3 linked regions of the Saccharomyces cerevisiae S288C genome follow. The gene in region 1 interacts genetically with each later gene. Each region holds a gene or a part of one and is shown in the gene's direction. Other genes may lie near its edges.

Evidence for each region. A genetic interaction does not mean that the proteins touch.
Region 2: mutations in ZRT1 (region 1) and UBP13 together harm fitness more than expected from each alone (negative genetic interaction), as found in Saccharomyces cerevisiae (2 studies listed by BioGRID).
Region 3: mutations in ZRT1 (region 1) and MKK2 together harm fitness more than expected from each alone (negative genetic interaction), as found in Saccharomyces cerevisiae (2 studies listed by BioGRID).

Annotation. Positions count from the first base shown.
Region 1 is NC_001139.9:18,970-22,608, forward strand, and holds ZRT1 (high-affinity Zn(2+) transporter ZRT1), read left to right. Parts: upstream 1-2,008; coding exon 2,009-3,139; downstream 3,140-3,639. Other genes in the region: FZF1 (Fzf1p), read left to right, coding at 3,335-3,639. UniProt on the Saccharomyces cerevisiae protein: High-affinity zinc transport protein.
Region 2 is NC_001134.8:93,112-97,780, reverse strand, and holds UBP13 (ubiquitin-specific protease UBP13), read left to right. Parts: upstream 1-1,898; coding exon 1,899-4,142; downstream 4,143-4,669. Other genes in the region: SEF1 (Sef1p), read left to right, coding at 1-1,112; ribose phosphate diphosphokinase subunit PRS4, read right to left, coding at 4,387-4,669.
Region 3 is NC_001148.4:286,987-290,867, reverse strand, and holds MKK2 (putative mitogen-activated protein kinase kinase MKK2), read left to right. Parts: upstream 1-1,833; coding exon 1,834-3,354; downstream 3,355-3,881. Other genes in the region: UME1 (Ume1p), read left to right, coding at 1-1,199. UniProt on the Saccharomyces cerevisiae protein: Serine/threonine protein kinase involved in a signal transduction pathway that plays a role in yeast cell morphogenesis and cell growth.

The DNA of each region.
Region 1 (3,639 bases):
CTAGATTCTGCCCAGCCCTCAACTTCACGCCCACGTTGAGAGTACATTCAGTACGTTGAAAATACATTCAGTCACACCCGCAGCACAGCAAGTCGTTTCATCTAAGCTATTTTGATCGTTAGAATATCCACACCTCACAAGTATCGACAATTTAGATGTGTATTGGGTTTTGTCTACGCAAATACCATTAGTTTCACACAAGATGCCATCAGCGCTACTGTAAATAGATTGTTCCTCTGTTATCGTGCGAATGGAACTAGAAAACCAATAATCATTGAATAATATATGTGACAGTGACAGGCCACCAGAATAAAGCTAATATCTAGAGGGGTATTTCTTCTTGAGTGAAGAAGAAATATGCTACTTCCAAATTTTAGGACGACAAATCCTCATAATATGAATTAGGCAAATTACAGAATGAAGGGGGTTGAGAAGTCCCACAGCACATCGCTCCTTCGCTAAGAGCTCCACTGCTAAAACAGAAAAAAAAAGTATTAATCAATTGTACTACCATGTTCTTTGTTACTAAACGCGCCTATTTTTTTCGAGAGCCTTTACGAGAGTCAATCAAGCATTCTCCCGCATACTTCGCTAAGAAAAAAGTGATCTTTAATTGGGCCCTTCATCTATCATTTTTGCTTAAGTGGCGTAACTTATTTTATCATTTCCTCTCCCTGCCATCCTCTTTATTTTTGTTCTGTATCACAGCAGTTAATTCAGTTTCCATTCAAAGTATGCCACGGATAACTTGATGCTTCAAGAAGAAAAATTATTTGGCCTAAAACTTGCTGTTTCTTCACAATTTTTCTAAATGCTCTCCGATTCCCGGATTGCAGATGTTTCACTGCTCCACATTATATCCTTTGTGTCCACCTTGATAATCGATACTTTAAAGATTATTTTGTGGGAGGAGAGCCTTAGAAAGAATACGCTTGTTTTAAGAAGGAAAACAAGCGGCACCAATCTTCAATTGGTATTTTAAAATCTATTAGACGTCAAATCCCGGTTAGACTTGAGATAGATGTACCTGGAGAGAAAATCTATAATAAAAAAAAAAATACTTTCAGGTCAGATATTTCTTTTTTTGTCCCTAATAAAAAGAAATGGTATTCTGCCAAACACCAAAGTGCCAAATAAGCATTATTTTACATAGTACGAAATGGAAATTACGTCAATTATCGACATTATGACATAAAATTGGATTTAACAAGATCTCTGAATCTGATATGCTTCTTTCATTAGGGTGGAAATAACAGCATTTGAGAGAAGCAATTGCCAAGCTTCTATGAAAATTTTCTAGAAGGCAAGAGTATTTCAGACTTTCCTAATATGAAAGGACAAATTGACACTAATGTCTGATTATGGCCAATTCCTGCGGTAAATTACACGGCGATTACGGCGACATGAGCTCACATTCATCACTCTATGGGACAAATGTTTCCAAACTGGGCGCAACAAACACCTGATGTGACTCCTACCCTTTGGACAATGCAGATCCACGCTACGGCAAATTAGTCAAATGCACTAGAACATGGCGCAAGTACTTATTGTGACCTTTGGGGTACCGTTACCGTCAGTTTTCTTCAGCTAAGGCGCGCGCGCCAGATAACTAAAAAAAAATATAGTTGCTGCTTAAAAAACAATACACCCGTACTCTCTTGCCTGTAAAAACCTCGAAGGACCAAAGATACCCTCAAGGTTCTCATCTGTGCGGTATTCTTCAAATTACAATGACATTTCCCAAAATTATCAGATGTGCTCAGGTATCTTCTCTCCAATGAGATGAGACAGATGAACATATTTGACCTTGAAGGTCATGGAAAGTAGGTTGAGAGCAAATGTGTAGAACGAAATTAAGAAAAAAAGAAATTACGCACGGCATTAGCTCGATGACTTAGTTATAAATAGAGGCCTGGTATCGGCTGTCATGATCTCATCTCTTCCCTATTTACAAAAAAACTGCAAGTATAGACAATAAAACAACAGCACAAATATCAAAAAAGGAATTATGAGCAACGTTACTACGCCGTGGTGGAAACAATGGGACCCTTCTGAAGTTACACTTGCCGATAAAACCCCTGATGATGTGTGGAAGACCTGTGTTTTGCAAGGTGTTTACTTTGGTGGAAACGAGTACAATGGTAACTTAGGTGCCAGAATATCTTCCGTCTTTGTTATTCTTTTCGTGAGTACTTTTTTCACCATGTTCCCATTAATCTCAACAAAAGTGAAAAGATTGAGAATTCCTCTATATGTTTACCTTTTCGCAAAGTATTTTGGTTCCGGTGTTATTGTTGCAACCGCATTTATCCACTTAATGGACCCTGCTTATGGTGCGATTGGTGGTACCACTTGTGTAGGACAAACCGGTAACTGGGGTCTTTATTCATGGTGTCCTGCCATTATGCTAACGAGTTTGACCTTCACTTTCCTTACTGATCTATTCAGTAGCGTCTGGGTTGAAAGAAAGTATGGTCTTTCCCATGACCATACCCACGATGAAATTAAAGACACTGTTGTGAGAAACACTGCAGCTGTTTCAAGTGAGAATGACAATGAGAATGGTACTGCAAATGGATCTCATGACACCAAGAACGGAGTAGAGTATTATGAAGATTCAGACGCTACATCCATGGATGTTGTTCAATCATTTCAAGCACAATTTTATGCCTTTTTAATTTTAGAATTCGGTGTGATTTTCCACTCCGTTATGATCGGTCTAAACCTGGGAAGTGTTGGTGATGAGTTCTCCTCCCTATACCCTGTCTTAGTGTTCCATCAATCATTTGAAGGTTTAGGTATTGGTGCAAGATTGTCAGCCATTGAATTCCCTAGATCAAAGAGATGGTGGCCATGGGCCCTATGTGTTGCGTATGGGTTAACCACACCAATCTGTGTGGCCATCGGTTTGGGTGTTCGTACCAGATACGTCAGCGGTTCTTACACTGCGCTTGTTATCTCTGGTGTTTTGGATGCCATTTCTGCTGGTATCTTATTGTACACTGGTTTGGTTGAACTACTAGCAAGAGACTTTATATTCAATCCTCAAAGAACAAAGGATCTAAGAGAATTGTCCTTCAACGTTATATGCACTCTTTTCGGTGCTGGTATCATGGCTTTGATCGGTAAGTGGGCTTAAACCAAAGCGAAATTCTGCATGTTCCATATAGATTCTATTTCATATTTTATAGTTATTTATTCTTTAGTAATAGCAAAAAAACAGTAATAATTTTTCTTTAACAGTCTCGGACAATAAATACGCTAAAGAAGATGAAAATGACAACTTTTACGCTGGTGTGCACAAGTGGTACCAGAATACGTGGCCACCAAAACAATGACGGATATAGGGAGAACCAAGTCTAGAAATTACAAATGTTCTTTTGACGGTTGTGAGAAAGTCTACAACAGACCTAGTTTGCTTCAGCAACACCAAAATTCGCATACCAATCAAAAGCCGTATCATTGTGATGAGCCGGGATGTGGCAAAAAATTTATAAGACCGTGCCATCTACGAGTTCACAAATGGACTCATTCACAAATCAAGCCCAAAGCGTGCACATTATGTCAAAAAAGATTTGTCACAAATCAGCAATTAAGAAGGCATTTAAATAGTCATGAAAGAAAAAGCAAGCTTGCATC
Region 2 (4,669 bases), on another chromosome or scaffold:
TTCACGAGGCGAGAAGAAGGGAAATGGATCCCGAATATAACAAGCAAGCCTTAGAGAAAGCCGCTAAGAAAAGAAAATTTTCCTCAAATGGTATCTACAATGGCACTTCGTCTACGGGTGGCATAACGGACAGAAAACTATATCCATTGCCACTATATAACCATATCTCCAGAGATGACTTTGAAACTGTAACAAAAACAACACCAAGTGGAACCACTGTTACCACTTTAGTTCCTACTAAGAATGCCTTAAAGCAGGCAGAAAAGCTAGCCAAGACAAATAACGGAGATTCTGACGGTTCTATAATGGAGATTAACGGGATACCTCTTTCCATGCTCGGGGAAACAGGCAGCGTAAAATTTCAAAGTTTATTCGCTAATACCTCGAATAGTAACGATTATAATAATAATAGGACGTTATTGGATGCGTCTAATGACATATCAATTCCCTCTAATTCAATTTATCCAGTGGCTTCTGTCCCCGCTTCGAATAACAATCCACAAAGTACTAAGGTAGACTATTATAGTAACGGACCTAGTGTAATTCCTGATCTCTCCATGAAAAGATCAGTAAGCACTCCCGTTAATCATTTTCCTGCGTCCGTTCCAGGGTTAAGGAACCACCCCGTTGGCAACTTATCTAATAATGTTACATTGGGAATAGACCACCCTATTCCAAGGGAGCACAGTAATTTACAAAATGTCACCATGAATTATAATAATCAATTCAGCAACGCCAACGCGATTGGAAGATCACAAAGTAGTATGTCCCATTCACGTACACCGATTGCTTCGAAGTCAAATAATATGACAGATTTGCATTCCGTCGTTTCCGACCCCGGCTCCTCTAAAAGCACGGCATATCCACCTCTGAGCTTGTTTTCCAAAAGTAATGATATCAATAGCAACAAAACGAACCAACGATTTTCTACGGGCACTAACACTGTAACTTCTTCTAACTTCCAAACCATCGATAATGAAAACAACGTGAAGACTCCTGGAAACAAACTAACGGATTTTTTTCAGCAACAAAGTGCAGGCTGGATTGAAGGCAACTCCAGTAATGATGACTTTTTTGGTTGGTTCGATATGAACATGGAACAAGGTTTTTAACGCCTATATTCTTCTAATATTCTAAGAAATATTATTACCCTTGTTTTCTGCTAATTTATTAAAGAAAATTTGCAAAGACGGCTACATAGGACTTCGAGTCCTTTTATTTATACATATTCTTTTTCGGATTATTTCCAATGTAACAATATTCAAGAATGGATCAACTTAAGGATTATTTATCAGTTTGTTATCACGACCTCCCTCCTTTGTAAAATGATGACCACACCAAAGTAGAATATTTATTCACTACCTATTTATTTTATTCTTATTAATATTTTATATATCATGCATTTATCCGTGTGCATTTACCAAAATTCATGAGTAACGATAACGCTTCTTATAGGTATCTATCTATTCCCATTCCGGTAACTTTTTTTTTTTCTCCAACGCTCAGTCCTTGCTTCTTTATCCCTATTCGTTTGGAGACGGTCGTCAATTTTAGCGGAAGGCTGAAAAATACATCGATCCGAAAGTGTTGAACATAGAGATGAGGCAAGATAACTATAAAGATAAAGAACCCAAAGAACGTAATTGAACTATTGTGTGAAAGAAGGTCGACAACAGCAAAGGAATCAATAGAGTTTTTCTTTGGTTTTCAAATTGATTTTTTTTCACCTGTTCATTTTTTTTTTTTCCATTTGGATAATATTATTATTGCCTATACCAGATCTTACCCTTTGACTGTTCAACTCATCAAGCTTTATTTGTTGAAGGGGCCAAATTCGGCTTTAGTAAGGATCCAGTACTTTCATTAACATACTAAACCCACGCAAGAAGGGCGCAATCATGATCAGAAGATGGCTAACTATAAGTAAGTCTGGGAAGAAGAAAAAGGCTGTTAATGATACCATTACAGAAGAAGTAGAAAAGGTTGACTTTAAGCCTGTAAACCACGATATAAATGATGAACTCTGTTATAGCGAATCATCCGATAATCCCTCTAGCTCATTGTTTGTCTCTAATTTGGATACCAAGGAAACTTTTTTGAATGAAGACAATAATTTGCAGATTTCTTCCGGACTAGACTATTCTTCTGAAACGTGCAATCAAGGCAGTAATTACAGCCAGGATGGGATATTTTATATTTCAAACGCAAAGGCTATAAACGCATACGGAGGCATTATCACGCAAGGGCCCGAGGCACCCATATTAGCTATGAAGGTGTCCGACTCAATGCCCTATGGAGACGGCTCCAACAAAGTTTTTGGATACGAAAATTTTGGCAATACATGTTACTGTAACTCAGTTCTTCAATGTCTCTATAATCTGTCCTCATTACGTGAAAATATATTGCAATTTCCAAAAAAATCAAGAGAATCTGATCAACCAAGAAAGAAAGAAATGAGAGGTAAGAAACCAAGAATATTTACCGAAGCAAGTTTTGAGAAAAGCATTGCTGGTACCAATGGACATTTGCCTAACCCTAAACCTCAATCTGTTGATGATGGAAAGCCTACCCCTGTAAATTCTGTAAATTCAAATACAGCTGGGCCTTCAGAGAAGAAGAGTAAATTTTTTAAAAGTTTTAGCGCGAAACATGTACAAGACAATAATAAAAAGGAAGGAAGTCCTGCTATATTAACCACTGGAAAACCCTCTTCTCGTCCTCAAGACGCACCTCCATTGATAGTCGAAACACCTAATGAGCCTGGTGCTCCGAGCAGATTGAGTTTCGAGAACGTCACAGATAGACCTCCGGATGTTCCGCGTAAAATAATTGTTGGCAGAGTTCTCAATTATGAAAATCCTTCAAGAGGTAGCAGTAATAGTAATAACCTGGACTTGAAAGGAGAAAGTAATAGCAGCTTATCCACTCCACTTGATAAAAAAGATACTAGAAGATCTAGTTCCTCTTCTCAAATATCCCCAGAACATAGAAAGAAATCCGCACTTATTCGTGGGCCAGTGCTCAATATTGACCATAGCTTAAACGGCTCAGATAAGGCTACTTTGTATTCCAGTTTGAGAGATATCTTTGAATGCATAACTGAGAATACGTATTTAACTGGTGTTGTATCGCCTAGCTCTTTTGTTGATGTTCTCAAAAGAGAAAATGTATTATTTAATACTACTATGCATCAGGATGCTCACGAATTTTTCAATTTCTTATTAAACGAGTTGAGTGAATATATAGAACGTGAGAATAAAAAAATAGCAGCCAGTGATATCAACAGCGATAGCGAACCGAGTAAGAGTAAAAATTTCATCAGTGACTTGTTTCAAGGCACTTTAACGAATCAAATAAAATGTCTGACGTGCGATAACATTACATCTAGGGATGAGCCATTTTTGGATTTCCCCATAGAAGTTCAGGGAGATGAGGAAACAGATATACAGGAAATTTTGAAAAGTTATCACCAGCGAGAAATGCTAAATGGCTCAAACAAGTTTTATTGTGACGAATGTTGCGGTTTACAGGAGGCAGAGAGATTAGTTGGTTTGAAGCAATTGCCTGATACTTTAACATTACACTTGAAAAGATTCAAGTATTCTGAGAAACAAAACTGTAATATTAAGCTTTTTAATAACATTCACTATCCTCTGACGCTAAATGTTTGCTCTTCAATAAATTCTAAGGTTTGTCAAAAGTATGAATTGGCTGGGATTGTCGTTCATATGGGCGGTGGGCCACAACACGGCCATTATGTTTCCCTATGTAAACATGAAAAGTTTGGCTGGTTGTTATTTGATGACGAAACGGTAGAGGCAGTTAAAGAGGAAACAGTGTTAGAATTCACAGGTGAATCTCCAAATATGGCAACAGCATATGTTTTGTTTTATAAAGCGATGTATTCAAACGCTGTTGAAAAGAATGATCGTGAAAATATGGCAAAAGAACAAGATGATAATATAGACAATCTAATCAAGTACGATGATTGGCTAAGAACTTGCAATAGTGGTCAAAAGAAAAAGGAAGAGCTGCCTATAGCAGACGATTTGGATACTGCTATAGACGACAGCTTTGTTTCTAACACACCCATAAAGTCTTCTAAAAAAAAGTCGAGAATGTTTAGTTTTAGGAAAAGCTGAAAAATATTTGCATATCAAGGAAGGTAAAGGTTCACCGTCTCCTTTAAAACTATTTTTTCTCTGACAGTATTAATTTAATTCTTACATAAATATAATATCTTTAATCTTCTTTTTTTAAACCGGCTCCGGAACCTTTTTCTTAAATTTATAGTTTTGTCTCAGTAAAAGGTTTTCTTTTAAACTAATACAATTATGAAGTATTTAGGCATGCAAGCAATCAGGAATCTAAGAATAAAAAATTGTCCTATACTGGAGCATGGGTGAACAAATATGACACGGATTCACCATTGTGTAGTCTTCTTATAGCTTCAGCGAACGTGGGACTAATATCGATCTGGTCAGCAATAGGTAAATCCAAATCTACCGGAACGGTATTTGTGCAAACAATTCTAGACAATCTACTATTTCTTAGCTTTTCTCTTGCTGAACCGGAGAAAATACCGTGTGTAACAATAGCTATAACTTCTTTGGCACCATGCTCCATCAACGTATCACAAGCTTTTACCAACGTACCACAAGTATCCGCC
Region 3 (3,881 bases), on another chromosome or scaffold:
AATCCAAAGGTGTTTTGAGCGTACCACTTTTATATTCTCAAGGGAGTGAAATCTTTGAGGTGGATTGTATAGTGCCACTCGGACTTCATTACAAAAAACCTGAAAGCATTTCAGAACCGTTAGTACAACCGGATTATACCATGGAATCTCAAAAGGTGGAGCAGACTGTTTTGATTCCAAAATGGGAATTTAAAGGTGAAACGATTGCAAAGATGATTTACGTGGATAACAGCGAAATAAATGTAAAGGTGATAGCCCTTTCTACCAATGGTTCTTTGGCATGGTTCAGAGAAGGTGTCAAATCGCCCGTTTACACAATGATGGAGCCATCCACTTCTCTAAGTTCAGCATCGTCCGGAAATCAAAATAAACCCTGTGTTGATTTTGCAATTTCTAACGATTCAAAAACCTTAACAGTAACTAAGGAAAAACATCTTGATAATGAAAACGCTACAATAAAATTGATAGACAACTCAGGTAAAATAGGAGAAGTGCTTCGTACAATACCTGTTCCTGGCATAAAGAATATTCAAGAAATCAAGTTTTTGAATAATCAAATATTCGCCACTTGTTCTGATGACGGTATCATAAGGTTTTGGGGTAATGAGATAGGCAAAAAGCCCCTTTGGATTCTAAACGATTCTTTGGACGGCAAAACAACTTGTTTTGCTGCATCACCGTTTGTTGATACATTATTTATGACGGGAACTAGTGGTGGGGCTCTCAAGGTTTGGGATATACGTGCAGTTATCGCTTTAGGGGATGCTGATGCTGAGTTAAATATCAACCAAGGACATAATAAAGTCAATGAACTATTCAAAGTTCATCACTTTTATAGCGAGCAAGTGTCCAAAATAGAGTTTTCTTCCATTTCGCCTATGGAAGTGGTTACAATTGGAGGGTTAGGTAATGTTTACCACTGGAATTTCGAACCTGTTTTTGCCATTTATAACGAGATACATGAGGACTTTCAAGGCATAATATCTGACGAATTGGAGGCCGAAAGCATGGCATTTTATCACACTGAGGGCTGCAGAAGAGAAATAGGAGAAAATAATAAGGTTAATACCGTTGCTTATCACAAATACATTGAGGATCTAGTTGCTACAGTTGATAGTGACGGGTTGTTAACTGTATATAAGCCGTTTACTGGAAAAGTTTTAGATGGCAGTAGAGAGGTTGGAGCTGCCAAAAGTTAATTTTTATATTATTTAGGCTGTTTGAGTTTGGGGCGGAAATGTATGAATAAATTGTGTAATATTTAGTCTTTACTTCAGCTTTTGTTTTTCTAAAAATTTGTTTTTAATGTTTTATTGTCTGAAGTAAACATTAATTATTAGCTTGAGAATTGCTCTACATGTATATATAAACGGCAAGGATCTACTCTTTAATATAGAGAAATGTACATACCTTTGAAAACGCGTTTTCAGAGTTTAGAATGTATAAGGTAACCTTAGAACCACATCTCTTATTGCCAGACTCTCAAAGGTGAACTGATATTGAGCCTATTTTACCCTTGTTTATGTTCACTTTCTCAATGCGAAAAAAAATCAAAAAGAAATAAACTTTATCCTTAGAGTTGAAGAATTAGAAAGAGAATAAATCAAAGGGATCAGTTGGGAAAGCTCAATACTTTCCGCTTAATTTTACTGAAAACCTCATCAAACACGTAGGCACATATATATTCATATATTTATATGTTGGCTACCTTCTAATTTGCATGAAATTCGTTCGCTCAAAAAATTAGACATTTTACTAGTAGCAAGTATTACCTGATTAGCATAGCAGGCACTGTTATCATATCTACAAAATACCAATTATATACACAGGATAATGGCTTCAATGTTCAGACCACCAGAATCCAATAGGAGTCACCAAAAGACTCCAAAATTAACGCTTCCAGTAAATTTAGTTCAAAATGCGAAATCCACTAATGATGGGCAACATCTCAACCGGTCACCGTACTCGTCAGTGAACGAAAGCCCATACTCCAACAATAGCACTTCAGCTACTTCCACTACGTCATCCATGGCTTCAAATTCCACTTTGTTGTACAATAGATCATCTACTACAACTATTAAAAATAGACCGGTACCACCTCCATTACCTCCCCTAGTACTAACGCAAAAAAAAGACGGTATAGAATATAGAGTTGCCGGCGATAGTCAGCTTTCTGAAAGATTTTCTAATTTGCATGTTGATATAACTTACAAGGAACTACTATCTAGTGCTCCAATTTCCACTAAGTTATCCAACATAGATACCACTTTTATCAAGAAAGATCTCGACACACCAGAAGGCGAGGATTCATACCCCTCGACACTTCTTTCTGCGTACGACTTCAGCAGTAGCGGGAGCAACTCCGCCCCTTTAAGTGCAAATAACATAATTTCTTGTTCCAACTTAATACAAGGAAAAGACGTAGACCAGTTAGAGGAAGAAGCATGGAGGTTTGGGCATCTCAAGGATGAGATTACTACACTAGGAATTCTAGGAGAAGGCGCGGGTGGTTCTGTAGCCAAGTGCCGATTAAAAAATGGAAAAAAGGTTTTTGCGTTGAAGACAATCAACACTATGAATACTGACCCAGAATATCAAAAGCAAATATTCAGAGAGCTACAATTTAATAAGAGTTTTAAGTCCGATTATATTGTGCAGTACTATGGTATGTTTACCGACGAACAGAGTTCTTCAATATACATTGCCATGGAATATATGGGAGGAAAATCACTGGAGGCAACGTATAAAAATTTGTTGAAACGTGGCGGTAGAATAAGTGAGAGGGTGATAGGAAAGATAGCAGAATCTGTCTTAAGAGGTTTATCATACTTACACGAAAGGAAAGTCATCCACAGGGACATTAAACCCCAAAACATTCTTCTTAATGAAAAAGGGGAAATCAAATTATGCGATTTCGGTGTCAGTGGGGAGGCTGTTAACTCTTTAGCGATGACATTTACTGGAACGTCATTTTATATGGCCCCAGAACGAATACAAGGCCAACCATACAGCGTAACCTGTGATGTATGGTCCTTAGGATTAACTCTTCTGGAGGTTGCTGGAGGGAGATTTCCATTTGAATCTGACAAAATAACGCAAAACGTGGCTCCTATAGAATTATTGACGATGATCCTGACGTTTTCTCCCCAGTTGAAAGATGAGCCAGAACTAGACATATCCTGGAGCAAGACATTTAGATCTTTTATCGACTATTGTTTAAAAAAAGATGCCAGAGAGAGGCCTTCTCCCAGGCAAATGTTAAAGCATCCCTGGATTGTAGGGCAAATGAAAAAAAAAGTCAACATGGAACGGTTTGTAAAGAAATGCTGGGAAAAGGAAAAGGATGGGATATAAACTTCCAACATTTTCCTCTCGTAACCAGAACTGACTTTTTCTACAACAGGAATTCTTTAACGAGACTTCTCCTCCTTCACCATTCATAAGTTTAACGATGTTCTTTTATTATCTAGACACTCCGAAATATTCTTAACATATACGTATATAGTTTACTGAAAACCGAACTAGCCATGGGCTATGAAAGTTCTCCTATTTCCTTACTTACATCAAATAGAAATGCGCATCCAAGTCTTTCTGGCAGGCACGCTATGATGTGCTAAATTATGACTCAAGTGAGTACTAGGCGCTTTTGTACTCAGCCGCGCGGGGAAAATTTCTTCCCTCCCTACCAAAGAGGAAAAAATCATATGGCGTCATATTATCCTATATACAACGGTCGAACAAAAATCTGCTCGACTCAGAAAAATAAAAGGGTTTTAACATACTTATTGCTTACTTAAGTTACCACTTCAGTAACTGGAGCTATAAATACAATAAGCGTTTTGTACGTAGAAAATATCCTCTATATTGCCTGATTTTCTTTA